2 linked regions of the Astyanax mexicanus genome follow. The protein of the gene in region 1 purifies or fractionates together with the protein of each later gene. This does not show direct contact. Links are inferred from orthologs where the notes say so. Each region holds a gene or a part of one and is shown on either strand. Other genes may lie near its edges.

Region 1 (10,882 bases):
AAGTATTTTAGTGTTGGTGGTAAGCAAATGTCTAAATAAAATAATATTTCAATTTCAACAATGATTCTCTAGTGAATATTCAATCTCACATTAAACATTGGTCCAGATACAGACATTCTCTTTTGTTTTATCAAACGGAAATGAAAACACCAAAATTAAAGTGAAACTTGCCACAAATGTTTTTAAATGCATAGAATGATATAATAATATAATTATATCATTTCTGTTCCCTACACTGTTATAAGGCACAAATAAAATGTTTTATTTGAATACCCAAGCTTAAAAAACAGGTTTAGAGCAGAAGGTCAGCCACACTACAGTATGCTTGAGACAAGAGAGAGGAAAGGCCTTGCTCAACTGCCCAAGTAAAGCATCTTAACTTAGTGGACCCTGCTATAGCACTCCAAACCCTGTGATCAATAACTCAGTGTTACTACTACTGAGCCACTATTGCCCTACACTGTCAACCGAGATGACAAAAACAAGGATACAAGTAATTATATCAATTTCAGATTCAAGTGATTTTCATTACACTTAATGCTTAACCACACCCAACCCCACAAACCACAATAGTGAAAGTGGTCCTGTGGGGAACAGACCTGACAGGCAGCCGGTGTGGGCCGTTCTTTAAGCATGCTCTAGTAGAAGTGCAGTAGAAGTGCTACAGCTGAAGCATGTTGATTTGGGATCCTGGCCTGATGCCCCGGAGGCCCCCTCTCCCTGTGCAGCCCCTCCCGCATCAGCTGCTCTAATTGTTTTTTGTAATTATTTTCTCCCTTCTGCTATTGTGACAAGCAGCAGCTACACTCTTCCTAACAAATTAACGCACAAACTGCCAGACAACAGGACTGGGATGGTGGCAGTCCTTTTACACAGATGGGCACACATATACACACACACATACATACATACATACACATGGGAAGAAGACATCTGAGATTAGTGGGATCGCGCTGCAGAGAAGACCCAGGTGCTAAAGGTTTAAGCCTCAGAGACCTCGGATCACACCTCCACACATTCACAACAAACTGACATCTGTCTATGATCGGCGTCAACACGGGTCATTTAGTCACAGCTAGTGGCACACTGTGCAGCGCTGGCAACCCAGTGTGAGTTATGTTTACAGGTTTGTTTAGTGCTAATAAATGAGCACTGGTGGGGGCTGGTGGGGCCAGGAAACCCAAATGTAATCACACAGTGAGACTACACTGAATATGTACATTACAAATATGTATTATGTCAATATGTCACTGTTTTGTGATCATGTTTTTTATTGTGAAACTAAATATGCTTCCTAAACATGACATTGATATAATGAGATTTACTTAATCCTATAAGTAGGCAAAATGACAATACTATATCATACTCTGATGGTGATATAGTGATAGTGTTATTCTGAGATTACAGGGCATGTATAGATTTTATAGCAAACTTCGTAAAAATATTTGAGCACTACAAAACGGGGTAGTACTTTGCATTCTGGCCGCGCCAAATATTTCATAATGTGAAAATGTCTTTAAATATTAAAATATTTTTTCACCATATTGACCACCCCAATATGAATTCTGGAGTTTTAAAACATATGGTCATAATTGTTCAGAAACCCTGTGTTTACTTTATTTTTATGATTAATCACGCATCAATACAAATGTAACTGCATTAATAATTAATCCTCAACTACATAGCTCAACATGGCAAAGTAATCACTTTGCTTTGGCAGCCCCAAAAAGTTTAACATACCAGTTTCAAGTGAACATTATATAAACAACAACTTGAAGGACATTTTCTGAGGTAACACTAGACAAAAAAATGTAAAAAGGGGCTTTTAAAAATACTTTTTTTTAAGACAATGTATATACACACCCGGCTGCGGAGATAGTCTGCTAGGTTCTTCCTGGTGAAATTTGCTGCAGCTGCTGGACTGAGCTCATACCCTAAAAACAGAAATAGTTATTGCACTTAAAACCAAAATGAATTACAAAAGTCACAAAATAGACTACACCTACAGTACATTAAAGGGGTTAAATCAGTTAAGCTGATCAGAACTGAACATATCCATGTGCTGACTAAACGCATGCTGGAGAAAGCTTTGTTCTTTAAACTACTTTCTCCAAAAATTCCTGTTTACTGTTTTTTTGTTTCCCTGCACCTGTTCTAATAAAATCTTGAATTTGTAATGTGATTATAGGCCTTAAATATCTGAATAATACTGTATATCTGCCGGATTAAGTTGTGAAAATTCCATGTTTTAACAAAAAAACTAAAAGTGTTAAATTACTTCTAAAGTTTTAAAGCTAAAAGCCTTTCTCTGGCTCTTTAAGCAAATACTTACCATTTCTCATTTTGTAGAGCTGAACATTTTTCTGAATATACTCTGCAAACTGCACTGTATCTCCAGCTTCGCCGACACATAACAACAGGATCTTCTCACTTAGTTTGAACATTTTGTCGTAGTCTGAAAGAGGAAAAAAAGATTTTTAGATTTTAAACCCTCACCAACATAACACAAAAAAGATTCAATATACAGAATTCCTAAAATGTGAAGGTAGAAAAATAATATTTACAGTCAAATCTTTCACAAAATGTATTAAACAATAATTTAATAAATGGTTCTCTTAATTTTACAAACTGTTCCTTCACTTTATTAAACAATTGTCTTCGTAGACATGTCACATACGTTACTGTACAATATATGTTTGTTAATAACATTACTGACCCAGATTCTGCCCATGATACTGCGTTCGCCAAGCAAGTACATTTACATCAATGATCCAGTGTGTTGGCAAATGTTCACAAATGTACACTTTATTTACTTAGAACATTTAAAATATTCAAATTCTATTACTCAATTTTCTATTTTCTAATTATTCTTAAAAACAGTTAAGGTTTAAGGGTGGAACTGCATACGCTATTGTATTGTACTGTTATTGTATAATTTACATAAAACTGTCTTAGAACAACAATATTGTTCTATCGGGGACCACACTCTGTACAAAAAAAATCACTATCATAAGCTTCTAAACATTGCTTAACTAGTCAGTATCATGTAGTCACTTTCCTTAAATAATAAATAGACTTTTTTGTCTAAACCATCTCCTCATGTTGCTGCATGGCCACTTGTGGTAAAATCACTACACCTCAGTTGATCAGATCATTTGATTCCAGACCTTTCAGATAATGGCATATGGCCTAACAGTGTTACTTGAACTAAATTATTATGCCCAAGTCAAAATAAAACGTGACAAACCCATTTTTATCAGCTTTCCAAGAGGACATCTACCTTCATTTAACTAACTTCCATGATTCAGGGTTTATCCACAATTGGCAAGTAATGAGATTTTGATTAGAATATAAAGTTTACTTTTTGTTAATAAAAGCTAATGTTTGTATAGGCTATACATAGAGCATAAAGGTTTAGTTGAGTTTTTTTGCCTGCATTTTATTCAGCAAAATAGCCATAAATCTAGCTAAAAATACTCTACAATTTGTGGTTTATAAAATTATAACTTATTTTTTTTAATTAGGATTAAGGTTTCTGGTTGGTTCTACTGCTCTACTGTATGATAAACTAACCTCTTAAAACATTACTAATGTTTAAACAGCGATAACAACTGTTATATGTGCTTTGTGTTCCCTGAGTTAAACTTGAATTAAAAATTAGTCAATACATTTTCGGAAGGTGTCAAAATGATATAAGCTTTAAAACACTGACCAGAGAACAGATAGTTAAGTGACTGTATCAATTAAGTTATTTAATACATATATAAATATCCGCCAGTAAATGAGCAACAAAAAAGTCACTTTCACTTTCATAAGGGATTTGCAAACTCATCTCCTTATCATAACTCTGATAATGTTAGCTATAGACACATTACAAACGAAAATAATGTTTAATTTACGTTTTTAACAGCAGTATGCTCTATAAATGTATATATTATACAGTATAATGTAGGTAACGTTAGCTGATTAAATATGAGCAGAAAATCTGTTCTACCCACAGAAAGAGCTTATCTTAGTTAGTTAGCTTAGCTAGACAGTTAGCGTTAGCCCTCTAATGACTCTAAAATCGTCTTTCTAGACGTTTTACGTTGATAAAGGGGCGGAAATCCTCAAACTGCATAACTATAACATTTATTAAACATGCTTCTGGGCTCAGTTTATTTAATATTTACTCAGAAGAGATCAACTTAATCAGTTTAGCTTTAGCTTAGCTAGCTAACTATATCACACAGGCAGCCGGTTAGCCGTTTAGCCTCACAGTTAGCCGCTCCTTAAACGCTATTAAATCTTTACCGTGTTTCATCTGGATGATGCTGCTGGCGGCCACATTATCAGCCGCAACCAGCACGAAATCCTGCCCCTGGATCCCCAGTAAATACTCCATCTCTCACAGCGAGCAGGGTTAGCTAAACTCAGCGCTGAATGCAGGCGGAATTACACAGCAGAAGTAGAAGAACAGCGGCGCGCGAGATTGTCGTCACCACACTGCATGAGCTGAAGCTGCAGTTGTCACGTGGTCACTCTATCAGACACAGCATGACCAGCAGATACAGTGGCATGCAGCAGGTTGGGTCTTTTTTTGGCCACTTAGATTAAAATACCAAGAATGTGCAGATCTAAAGTATAAAACATATATCTGGTTTGTGTAACACTTTTTGTTTACTAAATAATTCCACGTGTTCTTTTACAGCTTAAATGTCTTCAATATAAAATGTTCAATGTAAAAAAATCATAGGAGTCAAATCAATGTAAACAGGGATCACACTGAATGAGAAGAAGAGGTGTGGGTCAGTGTAATGTTTATCAGTTCATTTTTCTGAGGCTAAATTAGTAAAAAAAAAAAAAAAAAATAGTAAAAACCAGCAAAAACGTAAAACTTCATTATTTGTTTTTCACATTTGGTGAAGTAATTTTTTTAGATTTTTATAGTTTTTTTTTTTCATTTATCTACTTTTACATTTCTACCCCTCACAATCAGAATTGAACAAAAAATCTAACAATTAATCAATTTCAAATTTTCCTCTCCCAATCTGATGGTATACTCCAATCACCTTATGTTACGAGATGCAGAAATGGAAAATTAAATAATTAAGTAAAGAGTCAAGCTTTTATTTTCACTGAAATCATAATTGTGAGGGGCAGAAATTAAAAACTTGACAACTGGAAAAAAAAATCACTATACTAATGGCTTACTGAAATATTTCGTTTTATGAGTCTTATTTATAAGTGAATAAGTTTACACCCAGTTTATTTTTTTTTTAGAATACAGAAAATTAAACTGATAAATGTTACACTGAACGTTTGACTGGTACTGTAAATATGTTTTTACCCATGCGAATAATGCCATTAAATAAAGTGAACATGTGCAGCTCCATATTTCATTTTTTTTCATTTGTGACATTCATTTAAGGCAACAATTTTTGGACCTTAATGTATACTGGTATACTGGTGTAACCACTTTGAAAAAAAATAGTCAAACCTTTTTTCGTATTGTCTTTTTAATTGCCACAAATTATAGCCAATAAGGAAAAAAGAGGATAAATAATTTTGTCAGATTCCAGGCTCATCTTGTTTTTATAGTCATTTTACTTAGACCTGGATCAGTTAATGAGTTTATTTACAGTATCAGAACTTCTGAACAAACAAACTTTTGCATTCCACTATAAATAAGTGTTTACTGTAGTCTGCATTCCTGAATTTGTGCAACATCAAACCACTAAATGGCATTACATCTTGAATCAGAAAAGACCCTGAGGGAACAAATGCACAAGTAATTTAATGTGAATGTATTTATTAAGAAAAGATATTCAACACCCAATCCCTCTGTGTGAAACAGTTATTGGCCTCTTTCTTTCAGTAACTTGTTATATCCCCTGTAGCAACAATAAATGCAACTAAATGCTAAATGCTTTTTGTAGTTGTTAATTATTTGTCTCACAATGCTACAGAAGAATTCCTCTCCACTCCACATTGTAGAACAGCTTCAAGTCAATAGCCTGAAACAATCCTGTAGATACAACTTCATCTCAGATCTTCAAACATCAGCATGTAAATAGAAATATAATCATCTTTATATTTCATGGGTTATGTAATAATTATGAAATATCTGTATGTGTTTTACTATAAGGGACTATACATCGCTTTTCACTCACCATTACACCTGTTTTTTGATGTGACAGTATAACTAATTTTATTTGAAGGCATTAATAACATGGAACAGATGGGACTAATTATAGAAGCAAGTGTGATTATGGGGTAACAGTGGTGACCCCTGGTCTGAATAATTTTTATTTTATTTTATTTGATCTCATTTTATTCCAAATTTGGAAAGCCAATTACAACACCAACACCAGATATCAATAAAAGTGAAGCCACATACAGCCTCTTTTTGGACTGCAGCTGATGAATTACTGGGTAGACAGTGCGCTCAGAGGAAAGGGACTCAGCTCTCATACATCAGCTAACATCAGCCTGTGCTGACCAGCATCTCATTGGGAGTAATGTGGGGAGAAAATCAACCCAACCAGAGAGAGAGCATGGCCAGTTGTGCTCATGGCAAGCAGCATGAGCCGGAATGCAAACCAGCAATCCCTGAATCATAGTAATAAGTCTGAGCCCATATAAAGGAGATGTTCAAAAGTTTCCCCAAACCATCACACTACCACTACGACGTTTCACAGTTGTTGTGAGGATCTTCTGTGTAGGATTTGTGATCATTTTCACCCAACCTTAGCAGAAGCAAGAGAGCAAACGTTACTTAAAATAACTTTAAACAAGCAAATTACGTTTACTTTTTTGCTCACTATTGGTGTGTCTCAAACATTTACAATAGAGCATGTGTTTAAATCTCACTACAGTATATCATATTTAATGTCTGATCTGCCACAGGCCAGTTGATACATCACATGTACTCACGTGAAACTCTGCTCTGCTGCACATAATGTTTTTTTTTTATATAAACACTTAAAAGCTCACATTGCATACACAGGCAGGCGGAGATGAAGGCAGATAGATAGACAAATGTGTTCCCCAAAATAATGCTAAACACAATAGTTCTGGAATGATAGTTTGACCTTGTGTCACTAAATGCTATGAAAATCCTCCCAACAATGCTCCAAAATCAACTAAAAAGGCTTATCTTGACAGTAGAGGCAGATAGCAGCAGAAGCAGAAAAAAACTTTTTTAATAGTGTTGATTTCAGTGATGTTTCTCAATACTTTTGTCCATATATTGCTGCTTTCATGTCAAAATCTGCAAAATAGCAATTTGACAGTAGCTAAATAAATCTTTCTTAACTTTCAATGTAAGTTAGTGTAAAAATATTTTATTACATTTAATTTTAGCACTTTTCTTTTCTGTTAACTCCTGATTCCAATCCTTATTAATAAGTGTTAGCAATAAATGAATATGGGCAGTATATTAGGAGTAGTGTAGTAGTGTTTATCTGTGTAGTGTGAAGCTCATCAAAAGTAGGTCCCGATCGAACCAACTGGTTCTGCCACACAAAATCTTGTGGCTACTCATAGATGATAGGAGGTTATACAGTGTGTGTCTGGCTGGAATGGTAGGTGAGTCTCAGACGATGCTGCATGCTCAGATAACATTCAAAGCACTGTGGTGAAGGTCTCCAGTGGCACAGAGCTGTAAGCATTCTTCAGCATCTTCTACAGGGCCTTCCTGTAAGCCAGAGTGGAGCTGCTGAAACCGAAGTGTCATCAGACAGTCGATTGGGATGCTTTTTAATGGTGCAGCAGTGGACTAATCATTAATTTGTATCTGCAAAACACTACACAAGGCCAGCCTATATATCTCTATTTATTTTCACTGTGTTTAAATTTCATAACAAAAGTCCTGGTAAAAGCCATAGACTGTACACCATATGTAGTAAACTGTTACATAGTCTTAAGAACTTACAGACTTGTGCTATTAATATACTGCATCTAATTGCTTGGGCACAGGGTGCTATTTTCAGATATATATTTGCACATTGTGATTAAATAGATAAACAATACAAATAAAATTGATTATGCTATCAAGCTTAAGTTTAATTTTGTTTGTTTCACAGGCCATCATTTTTATTATTTTCTATGAGAACGTATGTTAAGGTAGAGACTGGACATCACAGTAACATTTACAGGTATTCAGATATGAGCAGATGAGGTAAAACAATAAGCTGAAGAAAACCAGCACTAACACTGGCTCTTTCTGTGTATAAGACCGGTGACCCCAAGTGTAGGCCAGTCCTTTGCAGACCGCTGATGCAGATCAGAGCTTTGGGCTACTGATGTTGTTCTCCTCTAAATAAGATGATATACACTGGGAATATAAAATTCGTTTTTTGTTATTTTTCCTGCTGAGTAACCTAAATTACTAAGAATGATTCACACTGATGCTCAGACTGTGTCCTACAGATCCAGCTCAGAGGACGCAGTCTGTCTCCCCAAGCAGATTAAACGAAGGCACAGAGCGCAAATTACCCTGTATTTTTTCAGGCTGATCAAAAGATTTCTTTAAAGCCTTGAAAAGCCCTTCAAAATGCTTCCCTTTGCCTACGCCACAGTCTTGATTTTATTTCTTATGCTTTGATGTTGTGACCCACTATGCAACACGGCCTATAGCAGTTAAAACTAGAGAGAACAGCAAAAACTGTGAGTGTGAATGCAGTTTACTATGATTACTATGGTATAGCTGTATGTGTTGGCTAAAAAGTTGCTAGGTAAATGTGTTTGTTACCAAGGTGCTGCAATGGTTTTGCTATACTTTAGTTATTGGTTGCAATGGTTTTGCCAGATGGTTGTTTAAAGTGTTGCTATGATGAAGTTTAATTAATCAACCTTTATTTAAACTCAGGATTAAAATGATCAAACAGAATACAGTAAGTACACTAAAAAGGGAAAACAGTATTGATAAAAATAAATATAATATAAAATACAGCATAAATGAATAATAGTAAAAGATCAAAATATAATTTTGAAAAAAGAAATCTTTAAAATAATAAAAGTAAAAACAAGTCAATCCAAATAAATTAAATGTAAACACATTTAAAAAAAATCAAATCTGACAAATACAAAAAAAGTAGGTGCTAAGATGTTGCTTAGGTGGTTGCAATGGTACTTTTTGTCAAAATAGTAAAAAGACATGGCTAAATGGTGGAATGCAAATGTATCCACAGACTTTTTGCTAAACTGTGTGGTGCCCCAATTTTCGCTCAAACTTTTACCCACTAACACTACTAAGGCCCCTAAGTCTGTAAGGGTGAAAACTAGCACATTCCTTCTCTGATAAATGTATAAAAGTCAGAATTTGTATATCAGCTAGAATAAACAGATCATAAAAATCAAAAGTAAAAAAAAAAAACAATCGTGTTATTGTTATTACTTTGGAAAGATGATTGAAATGTAATTTTCTTACACTGCAAGCATCGTGTGGACTTTTAATGATGTTTGTGTCTCATCTTCTCCTCTTCCTGTACAGGCCCAGGTTTCTAGTTTTTTTATTTTTGTCTACAGCTCCTATAGCATATTTGAAATGAATTTATGATAGATGCACAGGGAATCATTGTAGTGAAAGTGAGACCGGATGTGTCATACTCATTTAAATTTTTCTCTGTATCCCCCCAACCCCACTCTCTCTCTCTATCTCTCTCTCTTTTTCTTTCTTTCTCTCTCGGCATTTGTCACTGGTTCAGCCTGACTGCTTCGTTAGGACTCATAATTTGCATTCAGATTAATTATCTAATTACCGACAAATGTCCGGCGGCCACCCCGCACTCCAGCTCGTCAGCTCAGAGCCTGTAATTATTTTAATCATTTACTTTCATCTGGAGCGTTCCTGCCATACTCCTGTGTTTAGAGGCCATTCTTAATTACCCTGCCAAGACACTCTTCCCCTCGTTTCATGAGAGGGAGAGAAAGCGAGACACACACACACAAAGAGAAAGAGGGAAACAGGGAGGGAAAGAGAGAGAGAGAGAGAGAGAGAGAGAGAGAGAGAGAGAGAGCAAGAGAGCCCGATGGGGACATGATCCAGGAGTCTTGACAGCATCATGGAAGCTCCAAACTCTGCTGGTTTTTCGCCCTTGTTTCTTTCCTCCACTTCTCATTCACTTCTTTCTCCTTCTCTATCTCTACCACCCTCCCTTCCTCTATCCCTCTTAACATCCTCCATCTCCTCCTCCTTCTCTTCTTCTTCTAACTCTTTCTCTCTCTCCATCTTCCATCACCCCCCCCCCCCCCACCACCCCAACCCACATCACTCACCCCCACCCCTCTCTAACTTCCTCCCTTTCCCCCTTTATCGCAAGCACACACAGGAATCGCCTCCGGGCCCCAGTGCTCTGACTGCTAATACACTGAGACACACACACACGCATGCACTCTCTCTCTCTCACTCACACACACACACACACGCACAGACTGTGGTGACACAAATCCTGGCACAACGCTCCCCCCGCCATCCCACCCATGCTATCTGCTCGGAAAATCTATACACCTCACTGTGTATGCTTTATTTAATCATCCGTCACACTGTTCAAGGTTGCATCTGGTTTGTGTCCATCAGCGTGTTGTGGGGTCAAATCCCACTCACTCCGCTCCCATAATGATGCCCTCGCAGCAGCCTTGAGCCAGATACACTAGCTGTAAATGCTCTGGTGAAAACACACAAGCTATAATTGGGCCCCTTGAACATCAAACTTGCTTTGGATGAAAGTTTAATGGAAAGATGATTATCTTCCAGTCCCTTTTCCACTATTATTATTTTTGGTTCTTTTTCAATTGCAGAAAATGAGCTAGGCCCTATATTCCCATGCTCAAAAAGTGGTAAAAGCATATTCGCTGGCTTCACTACTGAAACACGCCACAAAAGCAGCATTTACTGAGC
Region 2 (10,017 bases), on another chromosome or scaffold:
TTACCTAAAACACAATCTGCAAATATTTATTAAAGAAATTAAAAACTACATTATTTCTTAAAAACATTAAATTATCTATATTACTTTTTTTTTATCTGATATACATGTTTAAAAAATATAAATGTTATTTTTAACAAATACAATCTGTTTTTTAGGAAGAAAAGGCATTGTTTTTTTAAAAGCTAAATTATATACTTCATACGTATCTATAAAATGGACAAAACATCTAAATTCATACATTTTGCTACAAGCTTATTGATTTTTAGAAAAAGGCATAAAGTATACACTATTTGTTTAAAAAAAGCATAATTATCTTTTCTTTAAAAAAAAAAAGCTAAACTAAACTGTCAATAAAAATACTTTTTTTCTAGGACTAAAAGATGTATGATATTGTTTCTCAGAAAGAGAACTGTTAGACAGGTAGACTAGACTGAAGATTAGATCTGATCTATGCAGTGCGACTGAATGCAGAACCCCTCCCGGCTGCAGCGCAGACCAACCTGCACATTAACTCAGCTGCTCTTCTTAATAGTGACCTCCTCAGAGTCCTTCATCATCCGGAGAGCTTTGCAGTGTGAAGCTGGGGGGGCGGCTGATGGCTGATTTGGTTCTCGGGTATACGGTGTAATGATGGGTGGAGGGTGGGGGTTATTAAAGGCAGCAGCCGGACCGCAACCAGCAATCAGCCGCAATCTCTCTTTTACCCTCCATTTCTGCGGGTTGGGTCGCTGAAGAGTCTCTCCCTGCAGGACCAGGCAGGAATGTTACACCTTCATGCTGAGGAGCATCCCAACCTCCTGGGCTAATGGAAGCACAAAGGCTACCATATACAGCCAACATGGAGCCCAATTAACAGCTAACAACACAGCTTTTGTAAGACTTACTCAGATCTGATAAGTATGTACACTGTATGTACCAATGTTTGTAGTGGTCATACTGAACACTGGGGCTCGAAATTCAATACCAAAAAGGCATCGAATGAAACGCATGAAACGCGCATAAAAGCACAGAATGCGGAGAAAGCGCACAGCGTGGTAAAAACAACCATGATCGTGCCCTGGTGCAGATAAGTGGATACAATATTTTGAGATGAGTTGGGGAGCTCAGGATGAAGTGAGGTGGTGATAATACAACATCATGACCTCACTAAGGTTCTTTCCACTGAATGCAATAAAATGCTTACACGTACAGGCAGTTACTCAAAAAAAAAAGCAAGATAATTTTTCATACTCTTGATTTCTTAAGAAACAATGAAAGAGCAGGTGTATCTAATTTTAAACCTTTGTACATAACCTTCACTACTGCCATTATTTAGCACTCTATAGGTTCCATCTGCATGATCCAGTCTTGCTCACATTTTAAACTGCTGCTAGTGTTTAATGACAGCTAAACATGCTAGGAGTAGAAGCGTAACACAACAACAACCTATAAAAATCTATCTTCTTTGCCAACTAATCACAAAGGCCTACACATAATGAAACAGCATATCCAATCCTGGCCCACATCCTATATTCTGGAGAGCCCAGGTGCAGACTCTAGAGTTTTCCTGATCCCTGATGGAATATTGGAGGTGCAGTAGTGTTTCTCCCACTCAATGGAGTCACTAACCTGGAAAACCTGGAGTAATCCCTCAGCGATCCGGCAGTAGTCCGGCCGCGTGCCAGCACATAGCAGAGATTAGCATTTTACACTCAGCTGAGGTTTTGTGCGCGCGCACACATACTTTTTTAGCACTGTGCAGCTTGGTGTGGATCTAGCACACTTGACCTAACTTCATGATTACACTGAAAATAACGTCGCTTGCACACTTCTTATATAAAGTTATAATTTGTTGAGCCAACATAACTTGCCAATGCTCAATGAAATCTGAAGTGAACTGAAATAGATATATTCAGTTATTTGCAGGTATTACATAATTTTAAGGCTTAATATAACATCTTTACATTTAACATCTTCACAAGTAGAACAAAGCTTTTGGGAAAGACTAAACATTGATGGTGAATATAAAGAGGGGAGACACACCCAGTATGCAATGATTTACACATCTAAGTTGCTTTGCACAAAGTCAGTGGCCAATGAAATTACTTGGGTGTGTGGCCATGCCAGTCATATCATGCATGCAGAAATTTAAATGTAAATTAATTACATTGTGTCAACAAGACACAATGAAGTGTAATAAAACAATAATTTATTTGTGTTGACAAAACACTATGCATTTATGTTTAAATGCAGTTGAATCTGTCTCCTCTATATCCACTGGATTAGTTTGGTAAAGGTATGTGGTGTAAAACACAGAGTTACTTACATTGTACCAGTGCTTGGAGGGGCAAAAGCTCCAAACTACCATCAGCCATTCTGGTCTTTGCTAAATCCATTGGTAAATCTGATCTTCGTCGGTTTTAACATGCAGTGCTGTGGCTATTTACTTTTCTTCCACTCATCCACTCTGAAACACACATTCAAAAATCAATATTACAAAAAATATTCTAAAACAGTAAAGTGCATTGCACACAGGGTCTATATTATACCTAGGCCTGCTTTAATGGGTTTATATAAAGCTATTGTGTTTTTATGTGAACACAGCATCTACAGAGCTGAACAGCTGGATTGGAGAACAGCTCAGTTTACAACCACTTGCCCTATTCAAGCATCAAATGTAATAAGTAATAACATTTATTATTCAGGTAGAAGTACAGATGATAGGGTTTAAAATACTTCTTTATATATGTTGAATAATCAGCCCCCCCCCCCCCTGTCCTTTTTTAACATTTTCCACACATTTTTGTAAAAGAAATAATTACTATATTGTTATATTTAAATGATAATGTTGATAAATTTGGGATGCACTAGTCTCTCTATTTCAGCTGCATATATACCCATTGAAAATGAGCAGGTGTGATGGATCGCATATGAAACAATTATTTTTCTTTACTGTTAAAAGGTTATGGTCATATAGGTGACCTATAAACCGTATTTTTATAGTTTTACAGTTCATTATTATTTTTTAACTTGCCATTGCTATGCTTTAACTGCTATTTACATGTTTTTTTTTTAACATCCAAGCAGATTTTTTAATGTTCCTAATAAAAACTTAAGGAATTATCATTAAAAACCTAAAAACATACAAAAAGAATGTTTTTACATGCGCAGTGCTGTAAAGAAGCACATATCGATGGGTAGCATAACTCGACAGAACACCGGTTCCCCGGAGCCGCGCACACAGATCCCAGGCTACACAGCTGATTCACACAGCGTCTCTCCCGCTAACCATAATAAACACTGCTGGGAAAAGTTCAGCTGCGCTGCCATGGAGAACAAAACTCAATTTTGTTTTAATTCAAACAATTTGTTTTTTTTTCCCAGCATTTTATTTTTTTACTCAGTAACGGGGAGTTTTCCAAAGTAGCAAAGTAAATTACTTGTGTCAAAATGTACTTGAGTAAAAGTAAAATTACCTAATTTAAAAACTACTTTAAAAATTACAAATTACTCATAAAATCTACTCAATTACAGTAATGTGAGTAAATGTAATTAGTTACTTTCCACCTCTGATGTTTATACTTCTCATCCAACTACAATCAAATTCACTCTGTCTGGATGGAGAGATTAAATGATTTGAACGATGAGAAGCCGGAATGAAAACAAGAGGAAGTTTTTTTTTAAATGTAAGGAGTAGAAAGAACAGATGATTGTGTATAAATGTAAGGAGTGGAAGTAAAAGTGGTGTGAAAAATAATTACTCCAGTAAAATATAGATAACCAACATTTCTACTTAAGTAACGTAATGAAGTATTAGTACTTTGTTTTTTGATACCTCTGTCAAGCATAATGAACAGATGCCCTGATATAAATTGAGTGTAAACCCTTGTTCAGAGACTAAACTGGGGATTTCATGGGCCAATAAATGTTTAAGCGTTGTCTGATCATGTCTGCATTAAACAAGCTACCTAGAGGCAGCCAGTGTTTACCTCAGACTTCCCTAACCTGCTATCAGTAATCCAGTTTCTGTACAGCAGCTCCCTCTACTGGCAGCACCCATATATCAGCAGATCTCAGGTGATTTAGTATTTCTAAAACACAGCTTCAATAACGTGAATAAATAGGCATACGTAATCTGTCTTATATAATAACCCTCCAATATACAGGATTTAACTAGAGTCCAAATATGGCTTTTTACACACAAACATAACACTGTATATACATATTTTATATTACACAATATCTTCAAACGTTTGAATGAATGCTTTCATTTACTTTAAGTTGCACCCAGAGAGGGATTGTTGATACAGATGTGTAGATGCACACACAGCTTGTCTAGTCCCTGTAGAGAAGCATTATATAAAAATATAATTGGACCTACTGAGATATACATGAACCTATTAACACAATGCATAATGTCAGACATGGGCTAGATGGGTATACACTATTTACATAGGTCACTATCCTAAAGGGCTAGAATCAAATGATCTGATCAGCTGAGGGTGTAGATTTTACCACAGGTGGCCATGCAGAATCACGGGGAGATGATTTAGGCAACAAAGGATTATTTAAGGAAGGAAATGATTAGTAGTATATATATTTTTTTTTTAATTTTAGCTAAAGCTGTTTGGCATTTTATTAGATTTTATTTTTTAGTATGTATTAAAATATTGTTTAATCTTTTTCGTTTAGTTTAGTTAGCTTTCTTGTAACACGAAGAACCAACTAATTTTAAAGTCGCTTCTAACAAAAGTTTAATAAAATGCCAAACATAGGAGGCCCATCTTTGCTGGCTTCCAATAGTCCCTATGTTCACACATCTGCAAAAAAAACAAAACAAAACAAACCCACAATCACAAAAACTACACACTGCGCTACTCAAAAGCTCTTATTTGTTTGTGTAAATATCAATGTGGTCAATTTTTTTTAAGTTCGACTTACTTTTTAAAATCTGTGATTTTGCTTTAAAATAACAAATATTTTACTTATGGTTGTACATACATTATTTAACATATTTTTAATTGTATAACTTATTTAATTTTAGTTTTTTTTATAAGGTAAAAAGAGGCATTGGTGTTACTTAGCTTGATAAAACCATTGTTTCAGATCTTTCAGTTACACGTAGGTCAAAATATTAACGTTTAATCAATATTTCGAAAATAACATATACTACACTAAGTAGCAATAAAATATTTTAAATTAGCTAATGATGCAGAGATACTAAATTCGAGATACTAAATGGAAAAATCGAGGTATTAAGTGAATATTTGGACAATGCAGTATTTTCAGTTTTCTTATTCACAGAATTGCTGCTTGATTTTCTTCTCCAGTCTGCGTAACTGCAGTGCAGGCCTGATGCGCACCGACACTCTTCCTCCGCGGCGGTAACACCGTTCAAACAGAGGAGCATCATGGCGGCGGCCATAGAGCGGCTGCTGTCCGAAATCTCGGAGTCGGAGGAGCCGATAGAGGAGCTGAGGTGCCTCAGTACTGCCGTGTCCGCGACCCCGCTGAGCGCGCTGAGAGAGAGCCTGTCCCCGGAGAAGCTGGGGCTCATTTTCTCTCTGCTGAACACCAGCGACAGGCAGGTTATTACAGGAGGCTGAGTCAGCTTAGCAACCTTCCACCTTAACAACCCGGCCAGACTCAGCAGCTGTTTACTTTAAGTTACTGCAGGGTCTAACTCACAGAGCAACTTCACAGAGCTGAACTAGACTGACTGCTGAATTTACTGACTCAGACTGGGTTACTGTTGAACTAATTCTGAATCAGGAGACTGACTGACAGCATTAGCATTAGCCCCAACTTACCTGTCAGTCCTGTAGCTGAACTAACTGACCACTGTTAACTACTAGCTAAACTAGCTAACCTTAATGGGGCGACAGGTACTCTTTCTGAACCCATACAACTAAAGTTAATACGTATTACGGTATAATATATAGTTAACTACTGATATGATGTTTAGTCAAGCATTAAATATGTTAACTTTAAATTAGCTAAGATAAAAAAGAGGTCACTAAAGAGGTTTCAGATTTTCAGATCTAATTTTTATATGGCTGTGTAAACGTGCCAAATGTTGACAACTTTTCTAGGTGCAGATTTCATTTTCCAGCAGGACTGCCCACACTGCCAAAAGTACTGACGTGTCTTGTTGACACGTCAGAAGGGGGAATTGAAGAGTTAACCGTTTATTATACCTTGGGTGTGTTGACAAATATCCTTCAATAATGATTACTTAACTTTAGCATCTACAATCACATAATCATTGTGTGAAACCTTGTATTTTATATGCATTTATATAGAAGATTAACCAATACTCACATTGTATTTTATACACATTTATATAGAAGATTAACCAATACTCACAATATATATTCTTTCCACATATAGTTAAACATTGCTTGATCAGGCATGTAACTAACACAGGCTCTATTATATGACAAACTAACCCACATGATACATAAGGCATTTAACTAACACATAGGATCTATTGTATGGCGTACTAACCACGTGTTACTGACATATTAGCATATAACATATGGAATCTATTGTGTGACTTGTTTAGCTCACGCTTAAGGCATTTGGTCACTGCATGATCCTAACTAACGGCCAAACAATGCCACACTGTCTGGCTGGACACAGTCAAGGCCAAACACTAGTGGTCTGGCCAGACACGTGAAATTATGCATATTAACATGAGCTAATCATTAGCAACGCCTCATCAGCAGGTTTCACGTCATTTGGGGTATAAACATGGAGTCAGATCAGAGGGGGGTCAGAACTTTTACTGGGACGGCTGTTAACTGTCTTGTATGTATCGGTTCTCCTGAATTCAGTATTTTGTAATAAATACTTGATTTGCTTTCAACTTCACTCCACCTGTCTGCGACTCTCTCCATCAAAACGAACACGTAGGGGAGTTGTACCCCGGATGAGGGGTGGGGGGAAACCCATCTTTCATTTTCTTTTTACAACAGTACCAATTGGTCTTGTATAATATTTAAATTTTCTGAAATACTGATTTTTGGGTTTTCATTGGCTGTAAGCCATAATCATCAACAATAAAAGAAAAAAACGCTTAAAATAGACTACTCTGTGTTTAATACATTTATATAATGAGTTTTACATTTTAAACTGTATTACCGAAGTAAAGTAACTTTTTAATGATATTCACATTTTTTGAGATGCACTAGTATACTTTGTTGATATGTTGTTTAGTCAGGCATTGAAGATTAAGACAATGTTACCCTAAAATAGTATTTTATCACTATTTAGACATATTAACACAGTGACTGAAAGAACGTCAATATTGTGAGCTAATAAAAGCTAAAATTTCATTATTATAAGATGCTGAATCGAAAACTAACTTTTAATCCAGTATTAAAGGAAGTGACCCTTCTGAGATCCAAGATAAAAATAAAATAAAATGTTAGTTCTGTAACTAGGACTAGCCAGCTAATTATTAACTATAAGCAGCACTAGCTAAGATAGCTAACATTTTTCCATCCACCTTAAATATTGCAGCAGTCACTTTATGGAGTTTCTACTTTGTGAAGCTATTCACCTTATATTACTTTACAGTAAAAACTTATCCACTGTATAAACCTATTGTATTTGTGGGCAGTGACAATGTTTACTTATGGGTGTTTTGTGTAGAGTTTCACAATTGAAATGGGTCTAAGTGCTTATAACACATGATCATTGAGGAGTTTTTGTTCAAGTCTCTCTCTACATCTCTTTGTCTGTATCTGTGTATCCAGGGAGCAGGTTAAGGTGTGTGTGGAGATCTTGGGACGTGTCTTGCAGGTGTTGGATCCTGTTCAGTTGGCTCAGAACTGCAAATTAGAGCTGCAGAGTGGGCTGAACCATCCTGATGATTCTGTTAAAGTGCTGGGTCTCCAACAGGTTCGTGGTAAAGTCCATCTTCCATTTACTGTGATGTTGAGTAGGGGTATAACCTGTTGTATCGTTTATAAAATCTAAATAACTTGTCCTACTAAAACAGTAAAAACTCCTATAATGTGATAATAGAAGTATTTACTGTGAGGCTTTGAGGGTGTATTTGTAATATATATATATATATATATATATATATATATATATATATATATATATATATATACATACATACATACACACATGATGTTTTTTATTTATTTATTTGCATGCACAAAATCTTTGGTTAGTTTGGTGGTAGATTTTGTTATGTTACAGTTTTTTCAGTTTTTATGTTTGTATTTAATAAAAAAAAGAATGTTATTTTGTTTACAAAATGGAAGTTTTGTTTCTACTGAATGTTTAAAACTAAATAGAATAAAAGCATTTATTTTGTTGCAGTACTTTATTCTTGAAATTAATAATATCTTTTTCAGTGTTTTTATCATATTGCCAAAAAATATGTAATACCCTAACATATGCTTTAGTTTTATGAGTGTCCTTTTCTTGTGTTTGTAGATTAGTCGGGTGATTGGCCACTCTGAGGGGATCACAGAGATGCTGAACAGTCCTGAGGTTCTGCGGGATGTAATCCGATGTGTGGGAGCAGAACGTATAGGCGTTGCCAAAGAGGTACAGTAGCTTTGTAGAGTGTAAAGTCATGTTAGCTTAGCTTCTGGAGAGCTGCAGGTTAATATTTTGACATTTAGTGATCTAGTTGAGAGATCCTGCTCTGTGAAATCCTCCTGGTCCTCAAAGGCTCTAGAATGTAGCTCTGTTCTGTTGTGTGGGTTGATGTCTTAACCTCTGTAACTCTTTCTTTTACGGATTTACTGATTCATTCATGTTACAGGCTGTATTTCAGGGAATTGACTCTGGGTATGTGAATTAAAATGTGTCTTTTTTTCTTCTACAATAACAACCATTGATTGACACAGTATGAGCATCAGGTTCAGTTATTTGGATCAGCACCACATATCAGCCTAATTATTCAATACTTTCTGATAATATTAGGACTCTGATTAGGATCTCTGATTCAAGTATCAGAAAGCTGCATCCCTGCGTTCTTTACAAGCTCTTGTTTGTTCTATATTTTATCCCTTATAGGCCATTTCTGCCCTCAGCATGCTGAGTAACACCAAGGCGGGGCTTGATGCTCTCTTCCGCTCCGATTTGCTGAAGGAGCTCAAGGACGTGATGGGCATCAGTGATGTCATCAGATACAGAGTGTATGAGGTAAGCATCAGTCATCCCACTGACTAACACAGTGGCACCTGTTGATGACACAGCTGTGCAAATTCACACCCACACACAGCTTCTTCTCACACAGTCGCTGTAGAGATTTACTGCCAATAGAAAAGGACTCTTCAGAGCAGATAAACATGAACTCAGTGGCATCATGCCTAATGCCAGCTGTGGGTTATAGCAGCCTAAATTCCCCCAGCATTGAGCTGTGGAACAGTAAATCTGTGTTCTCTGGAACAATGGTGCTTAATCCAGAACATTTGGGGTGTAATAAGGATCACTCTACATGCTGACATTTAACACATTTGTAGCAACGTTCCACAATCTGATAGTCTTTTTAATGGCCTTGATTTAGAAAGAAACAGTGTGTTTTAATAATTTTGTCCGTTGGAATTGTTGTACTTGCTAAAATAACATGCTGTTTTTTGACGTAATGTGGCTATTGGTGCATTTATGTACAAGTGTGTGTGTGTGTCTGTGTGTCTGTGTGTGTGTGCATAGCTGGTTGTGGAAGTGTCCTCTGTATCTCCTGTCTCCCTCGGGTACTGTGCAAACAGTAGCTTCATCTCACAGCTTCTGGAAGAACTGACTGGAGAAGATGTACTTGTCAGGTAACACCTACAAATACATTGACAAACAGAGGAATGGCCACAATAACTTATCAATCATCCCTCTGTCTTTTGCATATCTTCCAGTCTGCAGATAATATTTTTAATACATGTTGGGAAAATACATAAATAATATTCTGAAAAAAAAGCTGAGCTGTGCATACATTGTGCAACAATAAATTATATTAATATATATTTTCATAATAATAACTTTATTAGACAGACATTTGTAGCACATTGCCACAGTTAC

The links.
Region 2: the proteins of psmb2 (region 1) and psmd5 fractionate together in Homo sapiens (co-fractionation; 3 studies listed by BioGRID). This does not show direct contact. The link is inferred for Astyanax mexicanus from reciprocal best matches to the Homo sapiens genes PSMB2 and PSMD5.

What each region holds. Positions count from the first base shown.
Region 1 is NC_064410.1:53,480,041-53,490,922, forward strand, and holds the start of psmb2 (proteasome subunit beta type-2), read right to left. Parts: upstream 4,517-10,882; 5' UTR 4,385-4,516; coding exon 4,294-4,384; intron 2,456-4,293; coding exon 2,333-2,455; intron 1,935-2,332; coding exon 1,864-1,934; intron 1-1,863. UniProt on the Homo sapiens protein: Non-catalytic component of the 20S core proteasome complex involved in the proteolytic degradation of most intracellular proteins. This complex plays numerous essential roles within the cell by associating with different regulatory particles.
Region 2 is NC_064424.1:26,330,748-26,340,764, forward strand, and holds the start of psmd5 (26S proteasome non-ATPase regulatory subunit 5), read left to right. Parts: upstream 1-5,352; 5' UTR 5,353-5,390; coding exon 5,391-5,567; intron 5,568-7,743; coding exon 7,744-7,884; intron 7,885-8,433; coding exon 8,434-8,547; intron 8,548-9,021; coding exon 9,022-9,150; intron 9,151-9,660; coding exon 9,661-9,770; intron 9,771-10,017. UniProt on the Homo sapiens protein: Acts as a chaperone during the assembly of the 26S proteasome, specifically of the base subcomplex of the PA700/19S regulatory complex (RC).